Linked DNA regions of Lytechinus pictus. The protein of the gene in region 1 binds, or shares a complex with, the protein of each later gene. Links are inferred from orthologs where the notes say so. Each region holds a gene or a part of one and is shown on either strand. Other genes may lie near its edges. The genes, in order: N-alpha-acetyltransferase 35, NatC auxiliary subunit-like; N-alpha-acetyltransferase 30-like.

What was found.
Region 2: the proteins of N-alpha-acetyltransferase 35, NatC auxiliary subunit-like (region 1) and N-alpha-acetyltransferase 30-like are in contact, whole or in part, in a cryo-EM structure (PDB 7MX2), measured with the Homo sapiens proteins. The link is inferred for Lytechinus pictus from reciprocal best matches to the Homo sapiens genes NAA35 and NAA30. Residues at the interface, in NP_001308810.1 of Homo sapiens: Leu45, Gly46, Leu48, Leu56, Ala59, Met60, Ala62, Glu64, Lys69, Glu121, Phe313, Pro314, Arg315, Ala444, Leu510, Glu511, Leu512, Glu517, Pro605, Lys606, Phe607, Glu608, Leu609, Asp610, Val614, Arg615, His618, Arg619; in NP_001011713.2 of Homo sapiens: Glu221, Pro238, Ser240, Tyr242, Thr243, Arg245, Tyr246, His249, Asn250, Lys304, Ile324, Glu334, Asn335, Leu336, Gly337, Val339, Arg340, Asp341, Lys342, Arg343, Phe345, Arg346, Tyr347, Tyr348, Leu349, Leu359, Trp360, Leu361, Arg362.

What each region holds. Positions count from the first base shown.
Region 1 is NC_087249.1:21,913,097-21,917,024, forward strand, and holds the start of N-alpha-acetyltransferase 35, NatC auxiliary subunit-like, read left to right. Parts: upstream 1-1,319; 5' UTR 1,320-1,695; coding exon 1,696-1,733; intron 1,734-3,928. UniProt on the Homo sapiens protein: Auxillary component of the N-terminal acetyltransferase C (NatC) complex which catalyzes acetylation of N-terminal methionine residues. N-terminal acetylation protects proteins from ubiquitination and degradation by the N-end rule pathway.
Region 2 is NC_087251.1:25,284,974-25,288,901, reverse strand, and holds the start of N-alpha-acetyltransferase 30-like, read left to right. Parts: upstream 1-1,140; 5' UTR 1,141-1,237; intron 1,238-2,259; exon of another isoform or gene 2,260-2,515; intron 2,516-2,608; exon of another isoform or gene 2,609-2,834; intron 2,835-3,928. UniProt on the Homo sapiens protein: Catalytic subunit of the N-terminal acetyltransferase C (NatC) complex. Catalyzes acetylation of the N-terminal methionine residues of peptides beginning with Met-Leu-Ala and Met-Leu-Gly.

The DNA.
Region 1 (3,928 bases):
GCCCGGAGTTGTTTGTTTTGTACAATGTTAAAAAAATTATCCTTAAAATAAATTAAAGAAGTCCCTGCAGCAGAGTCCCGAGAACACCTGTAATCTTACCAGATTGCGTAATCTTACATTATATCATATAAAATTACAGGAAATTGGTATTTGGTTATGGAACCTTACAAATTTCCTTAAATAAAACACCATTATCGCCTTTTTAAACAGAGCTGTTCTGTTAAATTGCAGAAAAATTCCTGTTTTATGAATTTACAGAATGATTCTGTTAATGCTTTCTGCAAAATTTTCTTTTTTTCTGTAAAATCAGGTTTTTTCAACAGTGTATAGTAGTCTTTATTATTAATTTGAATAACATTCATACGTACATGATCAAGAAAATATAAACAATTAATGATAATTGCAGCTGTAAAAACACAAATAAAATTACACTGTAATAATATATAGCAGACAATTTAAATTGTTTCGGAACAATGACATAATCCGAAATCATGCAAAAATAACATTTTAACAAGTCATATATGCAGCTAAAGCAATAAAAAACATAAATAACGTAACAGCTATATATACGCAAACTGAAAGAATTAATGTATGATGATTCTCCCGCGCCCCAAAGAGCACCCCCCCCCCCTCATCAGACCCCGAAGCTAAATAAACTAACATAACCAACACCAACAAACAGGAGAAATAGACAGAAAAACACCATACACATAAAGGGGAGTAAGAGAGAGCGAGAGAGAGAAAAAAACAAGCAAACAAAAGACATGTAGGGACAATTAACACAAAGAAAAAACAACAACAAACAAATCGACTCCATGATCGACTCCATGCGGGGCAGACGATCGAGGGGCACCCCTCCCTTCCCCATCCTTTTTATTTTGGTTATTGTTTAAAACCTTTGAATATTCCCATTTTTATAGTGTCGCGTTAACGTATTTCGCTCTAATGCAATTTTTTTTCTTCTTTGCTAATAAATAACTTTTATCTCTTCAGGAGATGGTGATTACCGACCCTTCCCCCTCCCTTGATATATTAAATTTTGATTAGCAAAATGATATGATAAAGTAATTGTAAGTTTTCAGTTGTTTCCTCGAGACCAATATGGATTTCCATCCAGCTAAGTTTTTTGAGAATGGGAAGGCTGAACAATAAAACTGATCCGTTCCCACAAATCTCCTTCTTTTTCACATTAAAAAATAAATGCTTGTATAGGTTTCTTCGTGTTTAATTGCTAAGAACATTTATCACTTGCTATAAAATGAAACCTGTATAAGTGATGATTCAGAAAGATGATATTGTATAACATTTTAAATTGAAATTCTCTCAATTTGTTATCCAACGCACTAACTCTAGGACGATAAAACGTTTTCTCAATTTCTTTATTTTTATAGAACGATGCATGCTAACTTATGAACTAACTGGTTGTTCGATCAGCAATTTGTTTTATACACCCTCTATACAGATTTTCAGAAGTGACCGAGTCGAATTTAATGTTTTTCTCATAAAAGACAAATTCAATATTCAAGCCGTCCACTGATTCACTGAAGTATTCCTTCTCAATTTGTCTTCCCAGTTGGATAGGTCCATAATTGTGAGATCTCAACGGGGCGGCCCTGGCCGGCCGTTAGACCGATACCGGACCGACTGCATATACGTATACCTTGACCGGCGATCGTAATGTAACGAATTGGCCGAATGGAGAGTTTATGTCAAGCCGCTGAAATGGAAGCGAGGTAACTTATTTCTTTTTGTAGTAAAGTTGTAGTTAATTCAATTTCAATTGCAGTTTTACAAGCATCTCTGAAATATCTTGAATTAGATCCAAGTTAAGTTTGGCTAGCATGAAAACTGTACTTAGTGTCACGCCGCTTCAGTTGAAAAATGTTCACAATAGTAGACAATACATTGTCCCACATATTGAGAATTTTGTCATGTGCTGCTGCATAAACCATTGTAAACTGCAGTCTGCAGAATATGCAGATATCAACCAGGCCTAAAATTTCGTAATTTTTAGGGCAGGGCTAGTTTGGCCTTGAAATACTTCATATTTTTTAAGGGCATCATTTGAATGATTTCCTCTCTCATATTTTCATGTAATTTTGTGACCATTCCATGGCACAGAATAAAAAGGAATCACTCTAAATAATTGTAAAAGGAAGGAAGGAAGGAAGAAAGAAAAGAAAGAAAGAAAAATATAAAGAAAGGGAAAAAGGAAAGGAAGGGAGGGTGAACGAATGGGTGAAAGAAAGAATGAAGGAGAGAAAGAAAAGAGATGAATGGAGAAGAAATAAAGAAAAATTAAGGGGGAAAATGAGGGAAAAGGTTAAAATAAAAATAAAAGGAAAGTAATGAAGGAAAGAAAAAAGTTTTCCTTCATTCTTTGAAATAAATGAAAAAAAGGGGGGGGGAAGAAAGGAAGGGAAGATGAATGAATGTTTGAAATAAAAAATAAAGGAGAGAAAGAAAAGAAAGAAAAAGAGTAAGAAAAAAAAAGGAGGATGAAAAAAGGAATGAAGGAAAGAGATATGTTTCCTTCATTCTTTGAAAGAAAGAAAGAAGAAAACAGGAAGGGAGGAAGGAAGGGAATAGCTAAAAAGAAAATAAAGAATGAAAGAAAGGATGAAAGAGAGGGAGAAAAGAATGGAGGAGAGAATGAAAAAAAAAAAATAACAGGAGAGAAAGAACAAAAAGATAGAGGACATGAAGGGAAAAGGAAGCAAACAAAATTTTCTAGCCATTGGCTAGAATCTCCTAAGGCCCTCTACAAAATAAATGCCATATTTCACACAGGTTTAAAAAGGTGGGAAAAAGGGCTTCATATCATTCGATAGGTTTTATAGAATTCTTTAAACCCATTTAACCAGTTGCATACTGGAACCAGATATAGGGACAGTGATTTTCGGTTTCAGCATGTCAGGAAATGGAAATTCCATTTCCCAATAGACTTTATGTACAGTATGGAAAATTGACAATTTAGTTTTACCCATTGAATAGCAATATCACAACACTCGCGCTGGTCAAAATTTGTATCTGCCACTGTACCAACAACCAAGCCTTGAAATAAGCAGCTGCAGACCAGGGGCAATTTTTCAAAAAAAATTGCCCCCGGCTCACGGGCTTTTTACAGGAACCGGGGGCAATTAAAAAAATATATATATAACGGTGAACCACACCGCAAATTTGTTTATAGTAAGCGCAGCTCCTGCAAGTTTTTAATTAGTACATGAATAACATGCTAAGTATTAGGCTTATTCAAACATTTAAGAAATCAGATTTAAATGTTTAAGTGTGTTTTGACCAGTGTTGTAGTCAAGGTTCAAACCTCCAAGGCCAAGGCTTTAATACCCAAGGCCAAGGCTTCAATCTCCAAGGCCAAGGCATGGAAACCCAAGGCCAAGGCATTTCAAACTTTCGATATATGGAACAATGAGCCAACAATGCTTAGGCGGCAGACACAGTGCAAAATGTATAAAAGGTGGGAGCGAGCGAGCGAACTGAGCGACCAAAAATTTTGACCCTTCAAGTAAAACAAAAATAATTTCCTGATAGATTTAGACATAATATCAAAGTAATAATACTTTTTTTTGCTAGGCGATTTACATTGCAATAATTAATATTACCACGGTCATCTGATCCTGATCCTAGCATGCCCATTCTCAACGTATGTCTTTCTCCACTCCCTGGGATAGGGGCGGCAGAACATATTTTTGTTTATTAAAGGGATGGTCCGGGCTGAAAATAAATAGAGTAAAATTCACAAAGCAAAATGCTGAAAATTTCTTCAAAATCGGATAACAAATAACGAAGTTATTGAATTTTAAGCTTTATCAATATTTTGTGAAAACAGTTATATGCACATCGTCATGAATATTCATTAGGTGGGCTGATGATGTCACATCTCCACTTTCCTTTTTCTTATGTTATTGAT
Region 2 (3,928 bases), on another chromosome or scaffold:
AAAAGACACGACAACCTTGATTTAGATATAATGATGCATTAAATGCTGCTACTTAAGATAAAAATCATTTCAAATTATATACTTGATTTCATTTATTTTTTCAGTGCTTTTGGCAATGCATCGCAGTATATGAAAAAGTGTTATTTGGTTATCAACTTTTTTAACTTAATTTCCACTGGTATTTTGGAAAGGGCTCATTGACCTCTGACCCCTAAATACATTCTCCATGGCCGTCATTATTTCAGACCGAAATTATGAAACCTCCATGTTTTCATTACAAATAAGCCATGGTTATTTACATTATTTAGATATAAAATATGAACACAAAATATATTGTTTTTGGTTATTTTTATATCATATAGATTATATATTTCCTCTGATCTAGGATTTAAAGGGTGAAAGTTTATTCTTTATACTTATTTTAGTGTTGTTTAATCTTCTTGTACAAGTCTTTGGATTTTGGCACCAAGATCACCAACCTGCGGTGTTTTATCTCAGAGATACCATTATTATTATCTAAAAAGGACATTGACCTTTGTCGTTGAATTTTATGGGTGAATGTGCATTCTCGATGCTTAATTTTATTTTATCTTCCTGTAAGAATATGCGTGTTTTGACACCAAGAACACCAATCTGCACCGTTTTATCTTAGAGATACAATTATATAATATGGTATATGTAGTATAAAAGGTCATTGACCTTTGGCCTTAAATTTTATGCGTGAATGTGCATTCTAGGTACTTAATTTTATTCCATTTGATCTTCTGGTAAGAATCTGTGCATTTTGACACCATGATCACCAACCTGCGCCTTTCCATCTCAGAGATACCATTATACAGTATGTACGAAAAGGTCATTGACCTTTGACCTTGAAAAAAAGCACTTTCCCCAACCCGTATTCCTCCTAACTTTTTTTTGGTAAATGTTGACACCCATACCTACTCAAATCAGTCAAAAAACCATTTCCAATAATTTTATTCCAGATTGGCTCTTTTGGGGTCTAATTTAGGGATGCTAAAAGGGGAAGTAATTGTAATTGAATTTGAGAAATTGTAATTGACTTATATTACATTCAATTACTTTTGATTACATTCAATAAAAAAAAAGAAAAAAGGACCCTGGCTGGATGGAGGACATGGACAGAAGCCAGAGCTGTGGCCTCTGATAGGCAATGGTGGAGACGTTCGGTGGCCCGGGCCCTATGTGCCACTATAGGCATCTGGACTATAGGTAACAGGTAAGGTGACATTCAATTACATTACTTTATTACTTAATTTATTATTCAATTTACTCTGGATTGCTTTATTCCCTTAATTAGCTACTAGTGCTCTCTTCATGAAATTGTATCATTTTCCATGATAGGGAGAAAAGAGCTTAAAGAACTGCACAAAGTGGGTGGCGCTATACCTTGCGCTATACATACAAAATATTAATTGATCTGATTTATGACTTTCAAGTAATTAATTGTAATTGTAATTGACAAAAGTAATTAGTAATTGTAATTGAAAAAAATTGTAATTTAATTGAAAGGTAATTGTAATTGAACATTTCTTCAATTACGTAAGTGCAATTGCAATTGTAATTGAAGAAAGTAATTTAGCCCAACCCTGACCTTCACATCACCCTTTCCATCTTTTGCACCCTATAGCTACTCCTTTGATTGGGAACATTTTGGAGGTAATCGGTCCACTGCCTCCTTTGAATATTTTTACAGATAAATGGCGCTATACAATGATGTTCATCAGTAGCGTACGCAGGGGCCGATTGCCCGAAAGGGTCTTTCCAAGGACCGTCTTTCGTGTCGCCCATCTTTTATGATGCGCTATTAGCGGGGTGTTTCTGAAATTTATGATAAACAAATACAATTCGTAAGCTTGCTTTTAAATCAAATTTTATACAATTTTGTGAGATATCACATCATTTTATAAACAAATATTTTGTTTATTTTAACGGACGAATAAAATATGTTTGCAGATAATTTATTTGAAATGCGTTTCACATGGCGCATCATAAAAAATGGGCGACACGAAAGACGGTCCTTGCAAAGACCTTTTCGTGCAATCGGCCCCCAGGATTTTTGAAAGGGGATAGTTCAAGCTGAATGAAAAGTTTAAAAAAATATATATGAGGGAGGGGTTTTGAGTATCAAAAAAGTTAAAGGGGGTTTGAACACCTGTATCCCCCCCCCCCCCTGTGTACGCTACTGCTGTTCATCATCATCATAATCATTATCACTACCACCCCCCCCCCCCCCCACATCGCCTTGATTTTTGACTGATGCCCCGACTGATGCTTGAATTTTCTTGCAACATTATCAGCGCAGAGCATTTACCCGGTATGATAACACGTACGGTATACCGTATGTCATGTACGTGGTATATACGGTACTCCATCCCAGGCTTGAGCTTCTTTGAGCTGCAAAATGTATATGATATGACGGCAGCGCGAGCTAGGGGATCAATTTTTAGGTGCAAACTGATGTTTGATTTCTTCATGTTTTCTGGTGAGTTTACAGGTTTGTTTTGCGTTTTTCTTTCTGATACGTGATGTTGCTGTCGTTTGAGACCTGAGTCAGTGTTAATCAAAGTAAATTGTGGATCTATGTGAGTAAAGAATGAGTGTGAGGAATCCCAATCAAGATTGATGAAGTCGCGACACACAGCTGCACAGAGAGGTCTCGCTCAACAGATCGATAGGCCGTTTCTATTGCCAGTTCGTTCAACTTCCTAAGTATACAAGTTGAATAGGGGTATCACGATTCCTTGATATATGTAAGGGAATGGCACATGAGCCAAATCACTGGCTACTGTATATCTGTTGTCATCGCGATAAGTGTGAGTTAAATTGATGGTGTGTACTGTAGCCTATATGATGGGGTGTCCAAACTTCGCACACTTTTCAAAAATATTCATCAGGCTTAAATTTTTCACAAAATATTCATAATTTATAGTTTATACAAAACCAATTCAAGAAATAGTTACCACATTGACGGCAAGATCGTAAACTATAATATCATGGACGAAAATGTAAAGTAGGTCAAGGGGATTCGCCGGTATCGAGATCTCAAAATAATATTCTGATCGGCGAATGCGCGCTGTGCTGGAAAAGCGTTCAGAAAAAGTGTGACCTAACTTCGCGGACCTAAGTTTTTGTGGACATTTAAACAAAAACTCAAGCTCAAAAAGTGAAATATTTATATCAGATTGATGGCAAAATGCTATAGCCTATAGTCTAGAATCGGTTAGTACCACATTTAACTCACATTTTTGATGATTTCTGCTTGCAAAATGGTGATATCGACTATCGTGATGCTTGTTGAGAATATCAGATTTCTTCAAAACGGGCGCTAACGGTGACAAATTTGCCGATCTTTTGCTAATATTTTCATGAATACTGAACTCATCCTAAAGAAACTTACACCAAAAGGTAATTTTAGGTCGCTTTTCACGTTGATGATGTCAGATTTTAAGGATATTGGCTAGTTTTTTAGATGACCCTCCGCGAAGTATGGACACGCGCGAAGTTTGGACTCACTGCCATACTTCATGAATCAAGATTGATTCAGGAGCAGATTTAACAATTGATGAATTGAATGCACAAATCACTAATGAGGAGGTTGTTATTAATGTTATGATTAAGATTAGAGCTAATAAATAAGCATGATTCATGATAAGAAATAAGAATCATGAGAATACACTCAAAAACTTTTTTTTTTCATGTTTTTTACATTGATCTGTAAGTTATGGAATACCAAATGTTGATTTAGCATTTTAGGAGCAGATTTAACAATTATGATGAATTCATCATCTGCTGTAATCTTCAAAGGGCTCTGGAGCCTATCTCGAACTCGAAAGAGGTTATGATTAAGATTATAGAGCTAATATGATAAGAAATTAAAGGGATGGTCAAGGCTGGAGATATTTATTTC